Linked DNA regions of Arabidopsis thaliana. The protein of the gene in region 1 purifies or fractionates together with the protein of each later gene. This does not show direct contact. Each region holds a gene or a part of one and is shown on either strand. Other genes may lie near its edges.

What was found.
Region 2: the proteins of AT5G08450 (region 1) and AT2G30000 fractionate together in Arabidopsis thaliana (co-fractionation; one large-scale study listed by BioGRID). This does not show direct contact.
Region 3: the proteins of AT5G08450 (region 1) and AT1G07170 fractionate together in Arabidopsis thaliana (co-fractionation; one large-scale study listed by BioGRID). This does not show direct contact.

Annotation. Positions count from the first base shown.
Region 1 is NC_003076.8:2,725,508-2,736,147, reverse strand, and holds AT5G08450 (zinc finger CCCH domain protein), read left to right. Parts: upstream 1-3,222; 5' UTR 3,223-3,407; intron 3,408-3,505; exon of another isoform or gene 3,506-3,542; 5' UTR 3,543-3,575; coding exon 3,576-5,242; intron 5,243-5,686; coding exon 5,687-5,694; intron 5,695-6,120; coding exon 6,121-6,296; intron 6,297-6,475; coding exon 6,476-6,536; intron 6,537-6,619; coding exon 6,620-6,718; intron 6,719-6,860; coding exon 6,861-6,955; intron 6,956-7,085; coding exon 7,086-7,199; intron 7,200-7,335; coding exon 7,336-7,403; intron 7,404-7,541; coding exon 7,542-7,652; intron 7,653-7,727; coding exon 7,728-7,974; intron 7,975-8,067; coding exon 8,068-8,178; 3' UTR 8,179-8,535; downstream 8,536-10,640. Other genes in the region: PEX1 (peroxisome 1), read right to left, coding at 1-223; AT5G08460 (GDSL-like Lipase/Acylhydrolase superfamily protein), read right to left, coding at 797-1,017, 1,138-1,402, 1,570-1,812, 2,316-2,443, 2,628-2,928; AT5G08440 (uncharacterized protein), read right to left, coding at 9,178-9,228, 9,375-9,420, 9,703-9,806, 9,923-10,236, 10,637-10,640.
Region 2 is NC_003071.7:12,801,761-12,808,362, forward strand, and holds AT2G30000 (PHF5-like protein), read right to left. Parts: upstream 3,265-6,602; 5' UTR 3,121-3,264; intron 2,638-3,120; 5' UTR 2,615-2,637; coding exon 2,282-2,614; 3' UTR 2,063-2,281; downstream 1-2,062. Other genes in the region: TBL45 (TRICHOME BIREFRINGENCE-LIKE 45), read left to right, coding at 3,944-4,407, 5,025-5,196, 5,791-5,972, 6,096-6,254.
Region 3 is NC_003070.9:2,196,724-2,203,334, forward strand, and holds AT1G07170 (PHF5-like protein), read left to right. Parts: upstream 1-3,273; 5' UTR 3,274-3,496; exon of another isoform or gene 3,497-3,914; 5' UTR 3,915-3,962; coding exon 3,963-4,295; 3' UTR 4,296-4,549; downstream 4,550-6,611. Other genes in the region: AT1G07160 (Protein phosphatase 2C family protein), read right to left, coding at 1,432-1,776, 1,852-2,196, 2,503-2,955; AT1G07175 (alternative NAD(P)H dehydrogenase), read left to right, coding at 5,659-5,749, 5,927-6,047, 6,348-6,399.

The sequences.
Region 1 (10,640 bases):
AAGAGGAGGAGCTAGAGCCGGACCAAGCAACTGACCAACGGCGGTCACCGGAGCGTAGCTCGACAGGGAGAAGCGGAGGGAGAGGAGAGGAGCTGGTGGATTGAAGCGCGTGTAGTAATTGACGAGGGAGTGAGACGAAACAGTCGACGCCGGCGACGGTATTAACCACCGCTTCTGTTTCCATCACGTCGTCGGGGATGATGATTTGCCGATTGCGAGACATTGGTACAATTTCCTAAGCTTATCTTTTTTGTTCGAATTGCTAGCCTCATTTTGGGCTTCAATAATTATATTTGGGCCTGTCTAATTTCCTAATTGGGCCTTTTAAACCTATAGTTAGTTACTTATTTTTGTTTAAGTTCAAACATGTAACAAAAAAGAGAAATGATGTATATACAGTACATAATACATCTATGGACTAATAATAATCTATGAATTAGTCCGCAACATGCCAACATGCAACATTTTATGTCATAAAAAAAAACAAAAAAAAACTATGAACAATCCGCCATATCAATATGCAACATCTTATGTCATCACTATGCATGAAAGTCTCTACCATTAATTTGTGAAACCAAGAATAATAGAAAAAGATTCTACAATTTCTCGATCGACTCATTTTCTACGTATATGTTTGCAGTTAACGATAATGTAATCATTAGAGGTCCACATTCAAATTGGAACCAAATCACAACCAAAAAGATAATGCGAAGAAATATGCAATAGTACTACTACAAGTCTACAAAATTAAAGTAACAAAAATACATAAACAAAAAGAGAAGGATTTGTTGAGGGTTTAGAGACGAGAAAGTTGAGAAAGATTAATGGGGTAACAATCGGATTTGGAACCATTAAAGGCTCTGAGAGCAATTATGAGATTAAAAGCTTGTGTTGGATGAAATGCATCCCAGAACACATGTCGGTCTCTGAAAGCGCATGGTACCGCTAATGGCAGACACGTTATTTCTCCTCTATTTCTCCCTACTCCACAACACCCTCTATCCGTCACTTCGAATCCTACAAACAATAAAAGAAAACAAAATCAAACCATTTCAAGTTAAAAATGCTCTCAACTAAGCTAAAACGAAACATTTGATTAAAAAAAATGTAAAACAAGGGATAAGTTAGATACTTAACCGTAATTAAATGGGTTGGTGAGAATATCCACGGCGGCTCCATAGGTATTACCGTAAACAAAGATGGCTTCACTAGCGGTTTTGTTATCGGAATTGAGACGATCCACCAGCGATACAAGACGGTTGTTGAAAAGTTCAGCCATCTCGTTTACAGCCTCGACACATTCACCTGGCAGAGCCGCTTGGGCGGCTAGTTGGTCTGGTATGCAACCCAATGGACCCACACCGGCTATTACAAATTTCCTAAACCCCTTTCCATACAATTCCTAACAAAATTTTGTACAACACTCGAATTTTAGTTTGACATGAGTATTATTGTTATAAAATAAAAATTCGTAATTATCTATACGGATTTTAGGCACTCGATGACTTCACACACACACACATATATGGTTAATGATATTACTGATAGTGATTCGTAAATAAGACTTACAAGGAGATGAGTGGTGAAGTTGGAGAGAAGGAGGTCGGCGAAAGAAGTAGGGTCGTAAATAGAGCTTGAGAGGAATAGCCTTGGTTTCAGATAATTGTTAATGTAGTCATTGTTACCCAATGACACCACCACCAATGACTTTGCCATATATTCCTTCACTGACTCTTTCCTCATGCTCCTACTTATCTCCATTAATGTCTTCTCGAAGTTCTCCACTTGTCTTCCCATGCTAAATCTCTCTCCCTTCATCCATGCATGCATGCAAGAATGCAACCCCATTTATTATAGTCTTTTTTTTGGGGTTATTAAATACTCATGTCTCGTAGGCAAAAGTTTTTCATGCACCCTATCAAAGTCACTCGACATTAAATAACCTCCCGTGATTCAAATGTGGCTACTTCTATTGGTTAAAGGACGACTGTTCCGGCGGACTTTATGCACCCCAAATTCACTTTTTTATTTTTTTATTTTTTTTACTTAGCGAAAGATAACTTTCAATTTTCAATATCGAAAACCGTATGCTTATTAACAAAAAAGCATAGTACAATTCAATTTTCGGTTTCAGTTTTGGATATTTCGAACTTGGATTCTTTATATGAACATAAGCAATCGATTAGACCAATTTCGTTAAACAAAGTTTTTGATATGAACTAACATGGTAAAAAAAAAGAAACATATCCTATATAACCAAAAAATGTTTTGAACAATAAAAATAGACATTTAGAAAGAAAAAAAAGAAGAAGTACCAGATGGCGACCGGTTTCCTCTAAGATTCCTCCGGCAGCTGAGGCATAGTTCACACCATGGAGAATATCCACTCCTCCGTCAACCGTGTCCATAAACGCCGGTATCTCCGGCAGCCCTAGCAACTCTCCTGCAACCATCCACATCCATCCCCATGATCATGTTAATTAATTAATTGCTAACCCAAAACAAACTAAAAAATTAACAAAACAAAAAAAAAAAGTAAAAGGGTGAATCTCTTGTGCAAATTAAATTTATGCATGCACTGATTTCAAAACCAAATGCATGTAGAGACCGATATGTAAAATATGTACCAATGAAATCGACGATAGTTTTGCCGTTAGAGAAGCGACCGGTTGGTTGATTTCCAGCGAAATCGATGCCGTAAGGGAGATAGTTGGACCTAGCCAGTGAGTTCAAGTGGTTATTGTTTCCGTTATCCACCAAAGAGTCTCCGAACACAAACATCGCCGGAAACATTGCCGTCGTCTCGGATGAGTCTTCTCCACCGGCGAGTACAAATACTACTAGAAACCATGGAACAAGTACTAATGTTTGAACTGTGCAAGACATCATCATCATGTCTTTAAACTTGAATATTTCACTATCATGCATGGTCGCTTGAGATATATAAATACCAAGGTGATATGACTCCTTCCTTCGATTTATTTATTTATTATTTTATTTCGTCTCAGTGAATTTAATGAGCTCTGTTTTCCGTTGACTTTTTATTGTACTGTATAAAAAAAATTAAAAACGACAAAATCTATATCCTATGAACAATTCAATTAATAGAAAGTTTTATGGAAAAAGTGAGAGATTGAATAAGTATGAGGGCATAACGGCAATAAATAAAACCTAAATTGTGGAGACTTGTAAGAGCACGACGGTCTGTGACAAGAAGCAAATATTAACGCGAAAAATAAACATTTGTCCAAAATAAAGTAGCAAACCAAGGAGAACGGAAAATAAATTAGACTCATCAGAGAAACTCAGAGAGAGGCAAAAGTCCGAATCCAGTTTGCCATTTATTACTTCCCGGCGGCAAAATCCAAAAGGGTTTGCTTCTTCGTGCTCTGCTTCAGTTTCAATTGGTAAAAGAAATATCCTTTTTAAAAAAATCTTCGGCTCTGTGTTCATTTTAGGGATTCAATGTTTAGTCTGGTGATTCAAATTCTGTGTTTTGCTCTAGGTTGTGTATGAATTAAGTGCAATTCTATCTGTTGCAGCAGTGAATTTCTGGGTTATTGAATTTGGGAGTGATGAGTGGTGTTCCAAAGAGATCTCACGAAGAGGGTGTTACTCATCCATCTTCTTCTTCATCAGTAGCAAAATACCCTCACGAGGATTCTGGATCTTACCCTAAATCGCCGCATCAGCCTGTGACGCCACCACCGGCTCAGGTTCATCATAACCATCAACAGCCCCATCAGCATCCCCAATCTCAATCTCAATCTCAGCCTCAACCTCACCTCCAGGCGCTTCCTCACCCTCATTCTCATTCTCACTCCCATTCACCACTTGCTGCTGCTGCTTCTGCTTCTGCTCCTTATGAGGTTGAATCTAGAACGGTGGTTAAGGTTGCGAGAAGCGAGCCTAGAGATGGAGAGAGACGCTCTCCTCTGCCTCTTGTCTATCGGTCTCCGTCGCTGCCCACAACTGTTTCTTCTAGTGATCCTCATTTGACTCACGCCCCTGTGCCGATGGAGCCGAGAGATGGTGCTAAGGATGGCAGGGAAATTAGGGTTGAGAGTAGAGAAAATAGGAGTGATGGGAGAGAGATATATGGTGAGACAAAGAGGGAGATTCAGGGTCCTAAGGGAGACAGAGATGTGAAATTTGAGAGATCAGTAGATGACTTTAGCGGAAAAGGTAATACCGGAAGCTATACTAGGAATGATGGGAGAGAGATGTATGGTGAGACTAAGAGGGAGATTCAGGGTCCTAAGAGTGACAGGGATGCCAAGTTTGAGCGTCCAGGGGATGATTTTAGCGGGAAAAGTAATGCCGGTAGCTATACTAGGGATACAAAATTTGATAGGGAGAATCAAAATTATAATGAACAAAAGGGGGAGATTAAGATGGAAAAGGAAGGGCATGCTCACTTGGCTTGGAAAGAGCAGAAGGATTACCATAGAGGGAAGAGAGTTGCTGAAGGTTCGACTGCAAATGTGGACCCGTGGGTTGTATCCCGCGGTAATCCGCAAGGCCCAACTGAGGTTGGGCCTAAAGATCTCTCTGCGCCTGTGGAGGGGTCTCATTTGGAAGGACGTGAAACCGTCGGAGAAAACAAGGTTGATGCCAAAAACGAAGATAGATTTAAGGAAAAAGATAAGAAAAGAAAAGAGTTAAAGCATCGAGAATGGGGGGACCGAGACAAGGATAGAAATGACCGTCGAGTATCTGTGCTTGTTGGTAGTGTCATGAGTGAACCCAAAGAGATTGGAAGAGAAGAAAGGGAATCCGATAGGTGGGAACGGGAGAGGATGGAGCAGAAAGATCGAGAAAGAAATAAAGAGAAAGATAAAGATCATATCAAAAGAGAGCCAAGGACTGGTGCTGAGAAAGAGATCTCGCAGAACGAGAAAGAGCTGGGAGAAGCATCTGCCAAACCCTCAGAGCAGGAATATGTGGCACCAGAGCAGAAGAAGCAGAACGAACCGGATAATTGTGAAAAAGACGAAAGAGAAACAAAGGAAAAAAGGAGAGAGAGGGATGGTGATTCAGAGGCAGAAAGAGCTGAAAAGCGCAGCAGAATCAGTGAAAAAGAATCTGAAGATGGGTGTTTAGAGGGTGAAGGAGCTACCGAGAGGGAAAAGGATGCCTTCAATTATGGGGTTCAGCAGAGGAAGAGAGCGCTGAGACCGAGAGGCAGCCCACAAACCACTAATCGCGACAATGTCCGCTCACGGAGTCAGGACAACGAAGGGTGCGTCTCTCTGTCTTCCTCGTTTAATTATAATTATATGTTTCTCATTGCTTAGTAGAATCCTTTATCTTTACCATTTAGAGAGACATACCCCATTGATTAAATTTGGAGCCTATATAGTAATATCTGCAGGTGATACGATACTATATGATGAAGGGGCCATTATTGTTGAATATCTTATTACCATTATTGTTTTTCCTCTTAAAAGATAAAAAGCCTTTAAATAAAATTCTGCAATCATATGTGTATTATGTAGTGTCTTATCTCTGAAAACCAAATTTGATTTTTCTCTGGATTCCTCTCCGCTCCTTTTCTATCTGTGTTAAGAATATTATGTCTTTTATTACGTAAGTTAGGTATTAGCTAAGCTCAAGACTTTTGTTTTTGTAATTACTGGCCTGGCTTGTAATGTATCATCCGTTTTTGATTGTGTTTATTTTGCAGAGTACAAGGTAATCATTCATTTCTATATCCTCAAGAAAGGATCAAGTTGCACTGCTTGGAGAACAATAGTAAAAAAAAACCGGTTATGACATTTTTCTTTTACATATCACTGAAATGGTCATCTACGAACACACATGCACTTGATAAGCAATCTATTTTGAGATTTTCTTCTTATGGTCGTCCTTAGGTTACTGTTCTTTACTCTCACAGTAGAATGTCAAATATATAAAGAACCTCAAGATCTAAAAATATGGACCTAATAGTCGATGTGATCCTTAATGCTACTTGAGATTTTGGCTGCTAAAAGTTACTTACTGCCCTGGCTTTTTTTTTAACTTTTATCATTTTTCTGTTTCTTTTATTTTCTACACAATTTGAATCCCTTTGCACTTCATAATTTGATCTTGTTGAATTTTATTGTACTGATGATTCAGGCAAGTCAGAGGTGTCGATTGTTGTTTACAAAGTTGGCGAATGTATGCAAGAACTGATTAAGTTGTGGAAAGAATATGATTTGTCTCATCCTGATAAAAGCGGTGATTTCGCTAATAATGGCCCCACTCTTGAAGTTAGGATTCCAGCTGAGCATGTTACTGCTACAAATCGCCAAGTAAGTCGAATATATATCCAAATTTTTCTCATAATCATTTTCATTGTTTTTCTTCTAGATGACTTGGTGCATATAGTTTTAGTTCCAGTCTTTTGATCTGTTTAATTCACTTCGCCTATTAATTTGAGAAACACAGCTCCCTTGTTTGTTACTTGCTGAGACATTTGGCTCGTGTGCAGGTAAGAGGTGGCCAACTATGGGGAACAGATATATACACAGACGATTCCGATCTTGTTGCTGGTATGTACCCTAATGAATCTTATGCAATTATTATCTTTGTTTGGCCCGAACATGACATTGATTCTGGTCTACCTGTCATCTAGTTCTCATGCATACAGGTTACTGTCGTCCCACAGCTTCTCCTCCTCCACCGACAATGCAAGAGCTGCGCACTACTATTAGAGTCTTGCCGTCACAAGATTGTAAGTTAGCTTACCTCTGTCTTGCTTTTGATTCCTTTAACTGACTGTTGCATGTGAACTTCATACTATGTTGAGCTCTTCTCTGCTTTATATCAAGGAAGAATCTTTATCAAACTTCCAACTTAACTGATATATTTGTTAGACTACACCTCCAAGCTAAGGAACAATGTCCGTTCTCGAGCATGGGGAGCTGGAATCGGATGCAGTTATAGAGTTGAGCGGTGCTATATACTGAAGGTGATTTGACATGTGCCATTATGTGTCTTTCTAATTTCCTTGATTATCTTCTCCCACTATGTGCGTAATATCTAGTTTTAAGTGAATTTGTGTAAAACTCCTTATGGAAATTCTGATGATATGATTCCAGAAAGGAGGTGGGACTATTGAACTGGAACCTTCCCTTACACACTCCTCAACTGTGGAGCCAACTCTTGCACCAATGGCTGTTGAAAGATCTATGACCACCAGAGCTGCAGCTTCGGTATTTTCCTTCCACTTTGGAAATATCTGCTCTCTTAATCTTCTTACAACTCTTGGATTATTACACATGGCGGCTTGCATAGTTTTCTCATATTTCATATCTTTCGAACACTGACGACTTATTTACTGTTCTGTAGAATGCTCTGCGGCAACAAAGGTTTGTACGAGAAGTCACAATACAATACAATCTCTGCAATGAACCTTGGTAACTCTCTGTCAATAATCTCCAAATACTTCAAAAATTGTTCACAGAATTTCCTAAATTTATCAGAAATCTTTGTCACCTAAAAGTTATCAGACGCAAGGGTCAGTTTTACTTACGCATCGATCTACTTGTCTGCAGGATTAAATATAGCATAAGCATTGTTGCTGATAAAGGTCTCAAGAAGCCTCTTTTCACCTCTGCCCGCTTGAAGAAAGGGGAAGTTTTGTACTTAGAAACTCATTCATGCAGGTATGCACATCACATGTTTCTTTTATCTGACATTAATGACATAAGACGCTGAATCTAATCTGTGTATGCAAAAAGGTATGAGCTCTGTTTCGCAGGAGAGAAGACCATCAAAGCAATCCAAGCCTCACAACAACAATCATCACATGAAGCTATGGAGACAGATAATAATAATAACAAGTCACAGAACCATCTGACAAACGGTGACAAAACAGATTCAGACAACAGTTTAATTGATGTTTTCCGCTGGTCACGATGTAAGAAACCTCTCCCACAGAAGCTTATGCGGTCTATCGGGTTTCCACTCCCAGCAGATCATATCGAGGTTAACATTTTTCTCCAATTTGACTCTTCTTGTTTTGAAAATTCTTTATAAAACAAATGCTGATGATGTGTTGTGGATTTTGGAATGGAGTAGGTGTTGGAGGAGAATCTTGATTGGGAAGATGTACAGTGGTCACAAACTGGTGTTTGGATTGCTGGAAAAGAGTACACTCTTGCTCGTGTTCATTTTCTCTCCCCCAACTAAAAAAAACCTTTCATGCTTTGCTTCTATCTTACAAAACTTTTTATATTTTATTTATGGATTAGAGACTACAGTTACTTTGGCCTATCTTGTCTTGTGTACTTCTTCCTTGTAACATTTATTTATATATCGTCAGAAACATCCTTGGCACACCTCAACTTGCCACCTAACTTCTTCAGCACTAGAGGTATACACTCGGCCATCTGCCCAGGTTCCCTTTTCGAGAATCAAAAAAAGATTGTGCATATCTCTGATTCCAGCATCAAAATCCTCCCAAGCCGTCCTGATCAAACCCCATTGGACTGACTTGCCACCAATATGATATACTCCATTCTTTGGTTTGATATTTCTCGAGGAGACATGATGGATAACCAAAGCAGCCTTTCCCCCACGGGACTACCAATTTTCGGGCCGCTTTTAACACTTCTCCATAACTTCAAGCCGAACTGCAACACACTAGAATTTCATCATGCAGCAAGAACATCAACATATAGCGAGAGCTCACTCCTAGTTGCATAACCTCCTCTCTAAGCTCCTTTTTATACTTAGCCCGTTCAGGCCCGCGGGCTGCTAGCCCACTTTAACATCACATATGCCATCAGTGAACATCACATATGTTGGGCTTTGTTAGCTTTGTATGATGTGGTTCAATGAACATCACATATGCCAAAGACGGCATTTTGGTAATTACATGTTGACTTAGAATATAGAATGGCTTCTCTTTAGAAATGATTTCATTTCATCTTCTTCTGAAAACCGACATTTGTAATGAAATGTAAAGTGGAACTCAGATCAACAAAAGATTTGGTTTATTACTACTTTTTTTTTTGCTCATATTTTTTTTTTCATATACTGAAATTGATTGAATAGTTTTTTCTTAATCAGCTACAGAAGCCTTACATAAATAACTCTGAATCGTTCATAAGACTATCTCTAATATTCTAAAGCTGGAGAGGCCAGAGAAGAAACAAAAGAGCCAACAATACTATTTACCAAAAACTCTCATTTGTTAAACAAAAATCCTTTTTTCTTCCCCTTCTTTCTCTGCAGAGTCTGCAACCAAATCAGAGAACCAAACAATCAACCACTGCTTCTCTCAAAAAGCGCTAATATTAGTATGACTATGATGCTTTGTTAGAAAGGAAACGAATCAACCATGTTATCAAAGAAGATAAATGGTTATTAGTCTGAAACATTACCTTCTTAAGAAATAATCTAAGGGTGAGCACAATTGTATCTCTTGAGCTGCCAAATACAAACACAAAACAGAAGATTGACTGCTTAATACAAGAAACCCAAAACTGAATACTTGGAACACATTAAACAACTTCATTTAAAAAGAAAACACTAGCAGATTATTCTAATTCAAGTTTAGACTATTGGTGATGCATTTGAAATCAGAAAGAAACAAAAACAAAAAGCGTCTCGTTTCACTTTCATCTATTTTCATAGAAGAAAATCTGTTTTAAACGACGAAGGAGTTTTGATCTACTTTACTTTATCCAAAGAAAGACGACTTCTACTTACCAGCTAAGATCTGTTGCATCATTGTCCACTACTCGACAGAGATGCTCCTCGCCATCGGTACCAATAATCACAAAATCCGCAGGCTGATCAAAGGGAATCACAATCTACGAGCAGAATCAGAAAGATCACAATATTAGTTCATTCTTCGGGATGTATGTTAACATAATTCAGCCAATATTACATTTCTAACACAAAGGGGCAAATAAGGCAAGACTCTTACATTAGTAGAAGAGGAGAACTTTTCTGTAATTACAGGGTCATTAGTAGGTTTGATGCTGTAGCCTTCTTTCTTAATAGACAATGTAGCTGCTTCCCATATATCCAAATAACCAATCTGTTTCATAAGAGAGATCGCATAGTAAAAAAGCAATAGGCGCACAAGTGAGAGAGTAACATAGAGGAGGTATGTGCAGGAAAACCAAAGACCAGATTTGTAAAAGATGAAATAAGAGAAGTGGCATACTGAATAGGAGACTTTGAATAAAGCATGACCGTTATAAAGACTCTTCTCTATATGACTCTGCATCTCTGGATCTGCGAAAATAGAAGAGGAAACCAGTCACCAGATAATTCACAGAATATTTGCAGCGGCAATCCCTGCAGTATCTAAGAATACTAACAGCAAAGTAAGCTTTCCAAGAAACTTTTCAAGAAATATTCTTCTTATTTACCAGAAACGCTCAGATCTAAAGGAGATAGAATTGAATTATCAGACCAACCGAAAAACAGCCAGAAGAAACCAATACTGAATTATAAACTGACAAGTCATGCAGTTTTGATATCTTTAACTCAACACAAAACAGGTCACGCAGTAGTGCTTTCTCCGCATGAGGTAAACTACGGAGTTTCAACAGGTATGGATCAAACAAGCCACAGATCGAGTTTTGTTAAGTACATGAGCGACAAAAGTTTCAGAGTAAAAGCATAGACTTACGACA
Region 2 (6,602 bases), on another chromosome or scaffold:
CTACATGTGTATAATCTTAAACACTAAACAATATAGATAATATCAACAAAACATATACAACTCACAGTTTACTATACATTTAAAATCAAATAAAATAATATCATATATTTTAAAATCATCTTTACAGTAAAAGTTTTTAGTTTAACTAATATATAATAAGCCTACATGCGGTATACTGCAGGTTAATATCTAGATTATAGGGCTTATTGGATCTAAAAACGGGTCATCAAAGATTTCCTAAACTAAAGCAAAATATACTAAATATTCGAATATCTATCTGTTACCAAATTATAAACAAATAAGTTCGTAAAACAATTTAATAATTTTATATACGAAATCAATTAAATCTTAATCACATAAAAATTAGCACAAAAAAAAGTACTCAACAATTAAAAAATTATCAAATCTCTGTGTTATATAAGTTTTGATACTATATTTGAATAAAGTGTAATATACCTTTTCAATTTGTATTCTTTAACTAATAAAAGCTAACTAATATATTTGCTAATCTTATACCTATCAGAACCGACTATCGTTTATTATCTCTATAGTATTTTTGCAAGATTTTTTTTGGTGGATTTGGGTAAAAGTGCATTCGGGTCATAAGGTACATTCCCATAATAAATAAATATAGTGCACTCCTATGTTATTAGCTAAAATGTTTAGATTATAATTCAGAGTCATATCATTAATAAAATTAATATTAATAAAATAAATGGCTTTTTGGTAAGACGGATTTGGAGGGACGGGTTTTTGAATCAACATTAATAAAAAAGTAAAATATAATCAATCCACCGTTTCAATACAAGTTAAATCTTTAATTTATTATTTTTTAAGACCACTAATATTAAATATATCAAATAATCCTAATTTAGAAAAGATTATATAAAACCAAAAATGTTATGTGGTATGTATAATGTTACTATATATAAAATTAAACTATAAAATATAAATGTATTAGAGAATGATACAATTTGCAAAACTTTTATATATAAAAAATAATTCTTAAAATTTTAAAATTACTACTTTAAAAAAAATCACGGGACGGGTAAAGAAATTACAGAACGGATTTTATTTTGGAATTGTGTTATATGGTGGATGTATTTGAATTAATATTTAAAATTTTTTAAAATATTATTAATATGTTGTTTTAATAGGGGTTAAAACTTCAGTTTTTTAACAATTGTCTCATTGATTCGTGGTATAGCGTTACTTAACAACAATTATAAACTGTAAAATATAAATATTTTATAAAAATAAAATTTGCAAGTTTTAATATATATTACTTTTACAAAATAAATCGTCCCGCGGTATACCGTGGGTTAAAATCTAGTACTAATTTTAAACTTTGATTATATTTAAATACCAAATGTTTAATCAATAGTGAATCTTATGATATTTATGAGAGAAAGAAAAAACCATATCTGTTTTGTCAAAAACTCTTAATTACAATCATCCACGCAACACAATTATTGTTATATATATATATATATATGTATCCTTAACCCATAAACAAATTCTTCAATACAAAACCTGATATTCATATAATTTCTGTGCTAAATCATGGCAAGAACTGAGTTGTGTCACGATAAGCCGTTTGATCCAAGCCATTCATTGAACATCCTGATAAAGTTGAAAGCATCAGACACAGGTTTGAGTAATACATTAACAATGCCTAAAGAGTTTGTAGAGAAAAACTTATTTCCATGGTTTAGTAAACATCGTCGTGTAAAATTGTCACAACACGATTCGGTACAATTGTTGGATTTATACGAATACGATTCGAAGATTACAACAACTCTTATTATGAAAAAAGAGCAAGATGGAAATTTCAAGTTTCACGGATGGAGTAACATTCTTGATAAAAGAAAGTTCAAGACTGGTGATATTATTGGATTTTGGTGGGATAAATTTTACGATAGACTCAATTTTATATCACTATCGACTGCTTGATCGATGAACCGGACTTCACAACATCATTTCTCGAATATGAATCTCGGGTCTTGTCATGTTTGTTCGAGTCTGGTTATAAATATATTCCTTTGGCTTTGTAAGATTATGATATATATAATTTTTAAGTATTAAGAAATAATCGAGAGAAACATGTGTAACTTAAGAAAATCATAAAACAAAGCATAACTTAGGTTTTGTATCCAATATCTTCAGGTTTTATTGGAATATATGTTTTATGCAACGGGGGTCAACAAACAAGTTTACACATAGCATAAGAGATCCAAATCAAGTAATCAAAGGACCGTACAAATCACGAAATACCGAACTATCATCGTTTTTTGAATCCGTATTTCTTGCGTTCATAGAAGAGATCGGTTTTCGCACTGCCAAGGTTAACAATCTTGGGGCAACCATCTCTGTCTTTCTCCTGCTGTGTACACTCTTTGCAGTAATAAGCATCTGAGATTCCAACGCCACCGCATATAACACACCGACCTTGGAATGACCCGTAGTTGCATTCATCACAAATACGTACTAGAGTACACGGACGCACATAAGAATCACAAATCACGCATTTCCCATCGCATTTCTCACACAGTCGTCCAATAGCAATTCCGGGTTGTTTCCGGCACATGATCAAATCAGGGTGATGCTTCGCCATGGCTTACTGGAACAGTGTTTGATCTGCAAACCAAAACAAAAGCAAAAAGAGGTCATTTGTCTATATACTCATTCACAAAGGAAAAGGTGAGCAAGAGATAGCTTAGTAAAAGAAAACTAATAAGCTCCTTCCAACTAAATGGAGACTAGGAATTAATAAAACTACTGAAAAACTAAACTCTAATCAACAGTTAGAGAATCAGAAAAGAAAGTAAAACTTCAAAAAAGAAGCTTGTCACTAATAGTTTCTCAGAGGAATTTCGTCGAACACCTTACATGCATCAGTTCCAGCCAAAATTTTCTAATTTCCAGTTCCAGAGGCCTACTCTACTAACCCAACAAAATCGTGGAAGAGAAACTATCGATAAGAAATTTGAAATTTGATCAAACTACCGAAAGCTCCATCAATAAGCATAGACATTACAAAATACAAACCCTAAGATTTCAGAGCAACGAAATCAGTACACAAAATAAACAAACCCCAGAAAAAGGTGAAATAAAACTCACACAAGTAAAGGGAGATCTAACTTGAGCCAATAGAGAAGAACGTTGCGACGAGAAATTTCCAGAGCGCCAAGATCGACGACGAAGCAAAAAGAGCAATAAAACGAATCGGGTCGGATTCTACACAAATAACGAAGCATCCAGATTCCAGTTTAGTAAAGTGGGTCCAATCAGAATCTTTAAAGCCCAAAGTAAAAGCCCATTATTATTGGACCAGATTAGTTTAAGTTGCTCCAAACCAAACCGGCAGTCAAATCAATTAAACCATGTCCTAATCAATAGTACCCAATTTAGACCCGGTCCAAACGTTACCGTTTATGAGTGTGCGCAACTAGCAGCTGCCACTGTCAGTGCCAAATTGGTAATTTCATTGACCTAGCTTTGACTGAGTATCACCACAGTGACGTGGCTTTTTCACAATTATAAAAAAAATGATCATATTCTAGACATGGAGGTAAAGTAAAGCAAAGAATCTGCATTTTTGTATTTTCTCTAAGGAACAATTACAAAATCTTGATACCTTGTGAGATCATAAAGAAGGTCGTTAACTCGTTATCTATTATATTTATATACCTTGAATTCTTGATACGTTTGTTTTACCTTTTTTTCTATTGATAATACGTTTGAAGTTTGTTTTACTGTTACACATTGATTTTATATGTGTTTCCCAAAACCGTTTAAGTTTCAGAGTCCGGAGCAGTAACTCGTAATTCACTAATACTGGTATTAAATGTTGTTATTTATGGGTAAAGCATAAATACTTAAATTCAATTATTATAAGAAAATAAATTAAAACCCGACCCCATATTTTTCGTCCTTTTAAAAGATGGAGTCCTCGAAAACATTACGTATTAGTAAGTTCCATGCAAAGGACAAACATATAATAACAACAACTTCTCTTCTTTACTCGTTTCTCTCTCTCTCTTTTCTTTTCTTTTCTTCAAGCGCTTCTTTAATGGCGGCTGTTCAATGTCTCACTTTCCTCTTCTTGTTTCTTCTCCAAAACGCGACGTCAGCTTCACCTCTCCCTCTCTTCCGGCGGCCGATCCAAAGCAACCACAGCAACTTCGTGAAGCATCCTCGCCGAAGTCAGGTGGTTTTCCCGGTGAATCATAGTAGTTGTGATCTGTTCGCCGGCGAGTGGGTGCGGGATGAGACTTACCCACTTTACCGGTCTAAAGAATGCGGCCGAGGAATCATAGATCCGGGATTCGACTGCCAGACTTACGGCAGACCTGACTCCGACTATCTCAAGTTCCGGTGGAAACCTTTCAACTGCAATGTCCCTAGGTTATTTAAACTCACTCACTTGTCACTAGCTCTACTTTGTTAGATTAATTTGGTTAATGTTAATTTTAGTTGTCTTGTTTTTGAGGAAGAAATATTCATTTTATTGATACCGAGGTTATAATCTGACATCCAATAGTAAAACTTATGCTTTGGCAAATGAATTTTTGGTAGGGCCACTATACCAACCAAGATTGTAAATTTGATTACTTTATGAAAAAGACAAAAACAAATTCTAGCTGGTTATACCAAGAATTGTCATATATATACGATAGTATTTGGATCATACAATGATCCCAAATTATTTGTTAGTATTTAATATTTTATGGTTATAGACATTCCTTCACTACATTTTTTTCATAATTAGGGGTATTACATACATACAACTTTATAATATATTTTTCTATTAGTTAATTATGAGAGATTCTCCTTTTCTAAATGTGTAATAAGTACAAGTTTAACAGATTCGTTTTTAACAAAAAACAAATTGATTTTACTGTTAATTAGGTGGAGTTTGGTACGGTTAATATAATAAGTACTTATTATTTTAAATATGTAATGTCGACGCAATGATTTATTTATGGAACCCCTTTCTGATTATACTCCATTTGGGAAAGCAGATTCAATGGAGTGAAGTTTCTACAAGAAATGAGAGACAAAACCATAATGTTCGTTGGTGATTCGTTGGGTAGAAACCAATGGGAGTCGTTGATATGTATGATCTCTTCATCAGCACCGTCCATTAATACTCACATCATTCATGAAGATCCTCTCTCTACCTTCAAGATCCTTGTAAGTTCCCAAAACAAATTTTCTATTGTCGGTAAATGAAACTTTTTTTCTGTTTGGTCAAGTTTTCTCGAATAACCTCGTGAAAATTGAGGTCAAAAGTTGTAATTTTGAACGTCGTTTTCAACTATTATTACCCTCACAACTTGACGTCGTCGGTGACAGTTTCACTGGTCCAATAAAGCAATATCAGTTACTACTAATCTACAGTATTATACTTCTTTTTTTTGGTATGAATATGGAATATTAGTTTATTTTCAGATAATTTTGATCTAAGCTCTTCGGATTAGAATAAGACCACTAGAAAGAAGTCATTTTAATTAATCTGAATTAATTTTCTTGCTATAAATTGAAGTTCTTATATTACTTTAATAATACTTTCTTTAAGTTTCCGATAAGAAAACAATTTTAGCTTTCAGCTTTATTCTTTTAAGGCACTTAAATGAAAACAATTTTAATTTGCTGAAAATAAGTTTAGGTCTATTCATTAAAATTAGTTGAAAGGCGATAAACAAACTATTGTTTGTTACCATTCAAACCTTAAGTTATACCTCAAGTTACTTCCAGTTCTTTGCTAATGTGTATATGCAATGACAGGACTACAACGTGAAGGTATCATTCTATAGAGCTCCTTATCTTGTAGACATCGACAAAATTAACGGAAAGACAACTCTTAAACTCGACGAAATCTCTGTGGATGCATCGAATGCTTGGCGCACAGCCGACGTTCTATTGTTCAACACTGGTCACTGGTGGAGCCACACAGGTTCTTTACGAGGGTAAGCTAAAGTTATAACCTCTATATAAGTGAAATTTTTCACATACCTATAACTAGGAGGGTAACATATAGATCATTATTGTAAATTATGAGTGAATAGTGAAAGTTTTTTGGGATGAGACAGGTGGGAGCAGATGGAGACAGGTGGGAGATATTACGGCGACATGGATAGGTTAGTGGCGTTGAGAAAAGGACTAGGAACGTGGTCTAGTTGGGTCCTTCGTTATATCAATTCTCCTCTCACTAGAGTTTTCTTCCTCTCGGTCTCACCCACACACTACAAGTATGTACCACTCTCTCTTAATCTTAAAATGAATTATTCAACCACTAAACTATCATAAATTAGTTTTTCTTTGTTTTTAACACTACACGAGACTTTGGGAGCTATGTGATGAATGATGATAATTAGCATTATACGAGACATATATAAGCACGTGTAGTGTTGATAATTGATAAATTAATTATCTTGATATTAACGACGCAAATTAATAAATAGGAAACATATGCGTTGGATTGATAGTTTTTGCTAGATGTTGCCAAACTATATTAAATAAATTGGCTTGCTAGTTGCTACCAAGCTACTCTCTCTAGTCTTTAGTAACCCACCATTGTGCATGGCCTTTGCTAGCTA
Region 3 (6,611 bases), on another chromosome or scaffold:
AATTATCGGAGTTGTCAAAGGGGTTGGAGATGAAGGAAGAGGTTGCCGAAAGGGGTTGGGTTTTAAAAATGGGGGTCCATTTGGAAACTTACGTGGCATGAAGCGGTTGGCTCACGTTCTTTGACATATTAACGAGTTGTCTGAACACACATATTGGGAATTGACGTGCTTGATCAACCTCCACGCATAGTGAAAATATTATATTAGTTTTTATTCTTTGTTTGGTTGGGATCATGAAGGAAGCACAAGAATTTACTCAAAAACGTTATCCAAAGATATCACGGAGATCGAGTTGAAGATGGAAGGTAGAAAATAAAAGATAGGGTTTTAACTTTTAATTGAGGAGATCGTTGGTTGGGAATTAATCTTGGGATGGTTAATAGCCAGATCACTACAATAGTATCTTTCTTGGGATTTATAGTGGGTTGGTAGTGGTAGAAAGATCAAAGTTTTGATAACATATCAATTTAGTGTTTTGAAACTACGATTGAAGTTTGGTCAAAGCTTGCTAATGATTTAGCTAACCATTAGAATTCGAACTTTTATGCATGCACTATAATCTTTCTTTGATCTTTGAATTATTTCAAAATACAGAAACCTTTCTTCCATTAATTCCAAAAGAAAAAAAATGCCGCCGCAACTAAATTATATATGTACTTTGTTTGTTGTTTCTCTGGCCAAGCTTTGACCTTCCGCGAACGTGAAGTGCTATTTGAACGGTCCACCACTGCTTCCATATCCTCTTAGGGCAACTAATTTCACCTTTTATATATGTGTGGGTGAATAAATTACTAGAAATGTCCAAAACATAAGATATTATTTGAAGATTTTTAGGACCCATACCATATTTTCCAATTTGCATGTCTAGGAGAATCCACTTGGAAAACAACTTAAGAAAATGACATTGCACTATGTACTTAATACCGTACTAAACTTTCAGACTTTTCAATATTTTATAGGATTAAGGTAATGGCTAAGAGCCTAAGATATTTATGAACTAACGTAGTTAAGAAATACGCGTCCATATAAACGTAAAAGTAAAAAACTTTCAAAACATGAATTTTATGAACTCTTGAAACAAACCAGTACTAGCCTACACATTTAAGTCGATCCACATTATCTCATAAAAGAGTAGTAATATATAATGTATTGAGTGGTAAAGTACTCACATACAACTTACAAGCCTTAACGAGTTTTTACATAGAAGACCTATAAGGCTATAAGGATTATCAATAGAGAGTAAAGACAGTCTAAGATGGTATACACAAGTATCATAACAGCTCAAATGACTAAATGAAGTTAAAAACGAATAAAAGAATATGTGAATCATTCACAGTGAATGCTTAGAAAACAATAAAAAATAAAATGTAAGAAATTAAGAATGACTTCAGACTCTAACGTTGTTATTCTGTCTCTACATTTCTCCTATGGTCAGAAGAGGTGGCACAACTGAATCAACATCACACTAATATCGTCCAAGGAGCCTCGTGATACAGAGAGGTCAACGAGCTTCTTGCAAGCCAGCAATGGCTTCCGTTTCTGATCGGTCCCTTTGCAAAATGGTCGAGCTATGTCTACTGCCTCCTGATTACTAACCTTGTCCCATAGACCATCTGATGCTAAGATCAAGAACTCGTGTTGGGGATTGATTCGGAGAATATTTATCTCTGGTTCAGATATTATCCATTGTTTGAGATGAGCATCTCCTATTCCTCTAGATACCGCTAATGATCCTTGAATTCTCCAAACACTATTGAATGTATCCACATAACCGCCCTGCAGGATTATCGTAATCAGAACCATGTAATCATGATAAAACCTAACAGTAACTTCTTTTGCAAGAATTCTTACCGAGCTCTCAATTCTGTTTCGTTCATCATCTCTGGAAGGGCGGTGGTCAGAAGTCAAGGCCTCCGCGAATCCTCCAACGCTCAAAACAGCACGGCAGTCACCAGCATTGGCCACCACAAGATTTCCGTCGCTGATCAGAGCCGTGACACAGCACGAGCCGCCCTTAACGTTTTTTTCCTTGAGAAACTCAGAATCAGTCGCTAGATAACCACGTTTTACAGCTTCTTCAATCTTTGACTCGTTCCTCCCACCAACTATCTCGCCAAGAATGTTACTACACAAGTTCTTAGCCGCAAACTCAGCCGCTGTTGGTCCTCCGTGACCATCATAGACTCCGAATATTGCCTGCGGTTATAAAAAAGCTAAAAATGTTAAATCCCCATTTTGTAAGTCACTGGATCTATCTTTTTTTTTTTTCTTGAACACTAGTCATTGGTTCTATCTAATCAAGAACTACTCATACAATTTGTCATATATATGATTCACTGAATTTTCTTATAATCTTTAGAACTTCTAATTTGATTCATTGAGTCAACAACACAGCATAAATAAATTTTAAGTTATATATTACCCATCTTCAAATCGCAATTCATACTAATTAAGCAATAATCAGTAAATAAACTCGAAATTACGGAAGAAAATTGAAATTACCTGTTTGGGATCTCCTTGAAGATTAGTGATGGCAGAGAAACGATCCTCCATAGCTTCTCTTTTACCTCTCTTGCAATAAACAGAGTAACCATCACCTTCCCTCTCCACTGCTCTACTCTCCTCCCTCGGCGTATCTGCATTCGATATAGGAGCTGCAATACCAACCGGAGCCACCGGTATATCAAGCGTCGTCGGTCGTTTCCTCTTCAGAATGCTTCCCGGACCAGAGTCCGATCCAAACCCTAGTTTAGCCGGCGGTTTCAGGAGACGGAGGCAGAACGGAGATGTGGGAGACGCGGCGGAAGGAGAAGTAGAAGAAACGGGAGGATTGAGATGGGAAAGAGACAGGGTTAGGGTTTCATGTGCCGGAGAAGTGTTCAACGGTTTGTTGCAGAAAAGAGACGAAGACGGAGAGAACACCGGTGAGTTGCAAACGGCAACTGAAGACGACATCGTTTCGTAGAAAACTTAAAAGTTTCCTTTTTCTGATGATTGATTTGATTGTTAGTCTTCTAGACGTTTGTGTTTCTCTGTTTAGTGTCAACGAGAGAGAAGAAAGAGGCTTGAATATATAATATAAGACCTGGACAAGTCTTTCTCTGTTTCTCTGTGGCCGTTGCTTCTTCTTCTTCTTCCAGGTCAAACGTTACCACTCTCATCTTTCTCTTTGACTTTTTCAAATCATGAATCCACCGCCACAGTCCATTTTTTCTGCTTTTTCTTTGTCAACTGCGATTTTCCAGAAATTAAATGACTTTGGGAAGATAAAAAGTCAAATAAGGCCGAAATAGGAAAGAAATCAACACCTAAAATTAAAAAGCCCATCAGGAAAGCCTTTAATGAGATAGCCCATATTAAGTCGGACCTACATGGATCTTTAGAAACCCGACCCGGGTCGTTTTATTTGCAGAGCCATCTCTTGTTCGGATCGGCGGCTCGGAGATCAGGGATCGCTAGTTCAGACACCTTCTCTTCTTCTTCGTTCTCCTTCGAGGTTAGTTTCGATAATATTTTCCTTTGTTGTTTTTTAACTTTGATTTATGCGTGATAGATGTTACTGATTCAGAAATTTCGTTCCGTGTTCATGTTTCTCTGAATTCTTAGGGTTTAGCGTTGTCTATGCTTATTCTTTTGCGCCGCTCCGTTTTGGGCTCGAACAGCTTTCTCTTGTTTATCTGTGTTCGATTCAGCGAATTGATGGTTTCCATTGTTGCTTCGTTTCTTGTTCACTTTTCAGTGAACTTCAAGAATTTACCGTCGTTCCATTGATTTAGCTAGAATTGGATATAGAAAAGTTTCAGCTTGAGTGGAACTGTAAGTAGAATAACTGCTGCCTGATAGGTGTTTGTTGAAATGCCTCTGAGAAACAAAAATTGTGTTTTCTTTACTTTGTTAACCAATGTTATTTGCAGGTCAAAATCTTCTTAATCGAGGAAGAGCAAGATCTTCTTTAAGCAGTCATGGCCAAGCATCATCCTGATTTGATCATGTGCCGGAAACAACCTGGCATTGCTATTGGGCGACTGTGCGAGAAGTGTGATGGAAAATGCGTCATATGTGATTCCTATGTCCGCCCGTGTACTCTGGTTAGGATTTGCGATGAATGCAACTATGGTTCGTTCCAAGGGCGGTGTGTCATATGCGGAGGAGTTGGAATCTCGGATGCTTACTACTGCAAAGAGTGTACACAACAGGAGAAAGATAGAGATGGTTGTCCTAAGATAGTCAATCTTGGCAGTGCCAAAACTGATCTGTTCTATGAACGTAAGAAATATGGATTCAAAAAACGATAGTAGTTTGTTGTTACTTGAGCTATTGATCTTTTATTTATTGATGCTAGGAAAGTGTCTGTACTTGTCTTGTTTGTGTTAAGGAAATTTTATCCGGTGAAGTAATTTAAGACATGGGTTCAAACTAAGGATTATGGTTTGTTGATTTAGTCAGCCTTATTACCATTGCTATGGTTGGTTACTGTTTCTTAAGTGGTTGTCAATTATGTGATTGTTAGCGTTTGGTTGTCCATAAATATGATTCAGTTGGTGGATTAGGCCTCGGAAGTTTTCTGGAGAAACACCGTCCCTCTGTGTTTGCCAATGAATTATCTGACTCACAAAATTAACGTAATCTTGTGTATAAATCAACTTCATTCTTTTAAGTTTTAACAGCATTACCACTTGTGAATTCAGCTATGATTGAATACATAGCTGGGCGATAACTATAATTTTCTAGATAAATGTCAACTTAAAACTTTAAAGAATACGCAATAACTCTGACTCTCTAACGTCGACAAAAAGGTTATCATCCATTACATAAAAAACCCCACATGATCGTCAGAATTCAGAAATATTCGTTTTCAAAGTAAGGAAACCCCAAAATCCCTTTTTTGGGCCAAAAATATAGACGTTGACTTTTTATATCGGACGGTGCCTGTAAGTCAACTGCCCATGCATGTTCGCTTCGTTTATGTGTTAACTGTTAACTTAACAGTGTGGAATCCACAATTTGTCTGCAATAGTCAACTCCTATCTCCAATAAGACAATGACACGTGTTAAACATCAGCTACTTTATTTCGAAACAGATCCTGTATTTCTAGCCGAATTAATTCAATCATAATCTAAATAATTGCTATTTACGAGTCAAAAAATATTTAGACGAAAATTTGATATTGTAGCTAGCCATTAAGAAAAACGTTAATTTGTAAGAAACGTTTACGCTGATGATTTATTCAGGGAAGACCACTGAAACAATGAAACACAAGATTTATATAGTGATGTAAAATGTTGTAATAGACAGACTTTTAATATCAAAATATTTCAAACCACATGCCTTTGCAGGTATCTACACCAATCTTTAATCAAAATGTTTTAAATTTTGTTGTGCCCTAATTCCTTATAAATGTATTTTGCTCGAATTTGGGTTAGACATTCAAAATGATATGTTTGTAGGAATGCTTCCATGTCAATAAATTGCACTATTCCGGTTATGTAGCACTGTCCGAAATATATATATTAAAGTAGTTTGAAAAATAAGGTTAATTAATCTTTATTATTAATGAATACATTTCCATTTCACGTTTATAAAAGGAGAGGGTTACGAGAGATATAGTTGAATAGAGAAGAGAAAGAGGAAGAGAAAAAGGGGAAAGAGAAGAGAAGATGGTTTTTTGTTATGCAATTCGGCTGTGTTTATGCATTTTCTTGGCACTTTCAATCGTCTCTTCGGCTCGACTAACTTTTTCATTTTCAGGTAAGAGAAATCGAGCTCATCATCCTATCTACATACAGAAAAGATCAAATTTTGGAGTTGTATATAAACTCCTCATTCGAATTTTGAAATCCATAATAGTATATCGTTGGATTAATTACTTTCGTAATTATCTAAGTTTTAGCTTCGTAATATATGTTAAACCTGCATGCATGACAGAAAACGAAAAGATGATGGTGAGGGGTAGATCATTGATGGTGAGCACCAACGACTACGGCGAGCCATCGGCCAACGCCAAACACAATCCACCTGGAAGGCGTCGTGGAGGAGGTCGGAGAGGGTAAATAAATAAAAAGATAAAAATAAAAAAATATGGTTTTGGATACATTTAAGATCTTTAATTTTACTCATTTTCTCTCAGTATGTCATCTCTTTATATACTGAACAATAAAAACCTTCCATCAAATAATACGTTCTGATACATTAATAAATTAGTAATGAACACCTAGACTCGTATCTTCTAATCTCAATGTTTAATGAATGGTAAAAATAATTATTTAATTTTCCGTGGTCAACAATGCATAATCTTTTTATTTATTTTGTCTTCTTACCTTTCAAAAATTTCTCAACTTGTCAACAGAAAAAATAAAAATCCCAATAACAAAGGTGACAACCGAAACAGAAGCACATGACCACAATGCTAAAGATGGATAAAAAAAATAGAGCAAAAAGAAAGACAAAAATTTCAGTAGTCAAGAGTATAATTAAGCACGTATAATTTGCAAAATTTTTATTTTATTTTTATGAACCGTTTGGTGTATATATATAATCCTTGCTTTCCAGTTTTGATGATCTTTTTGTGCTACTTTGTATGCGGTTAAAGATTGTTGTAATAGGCAAAGAA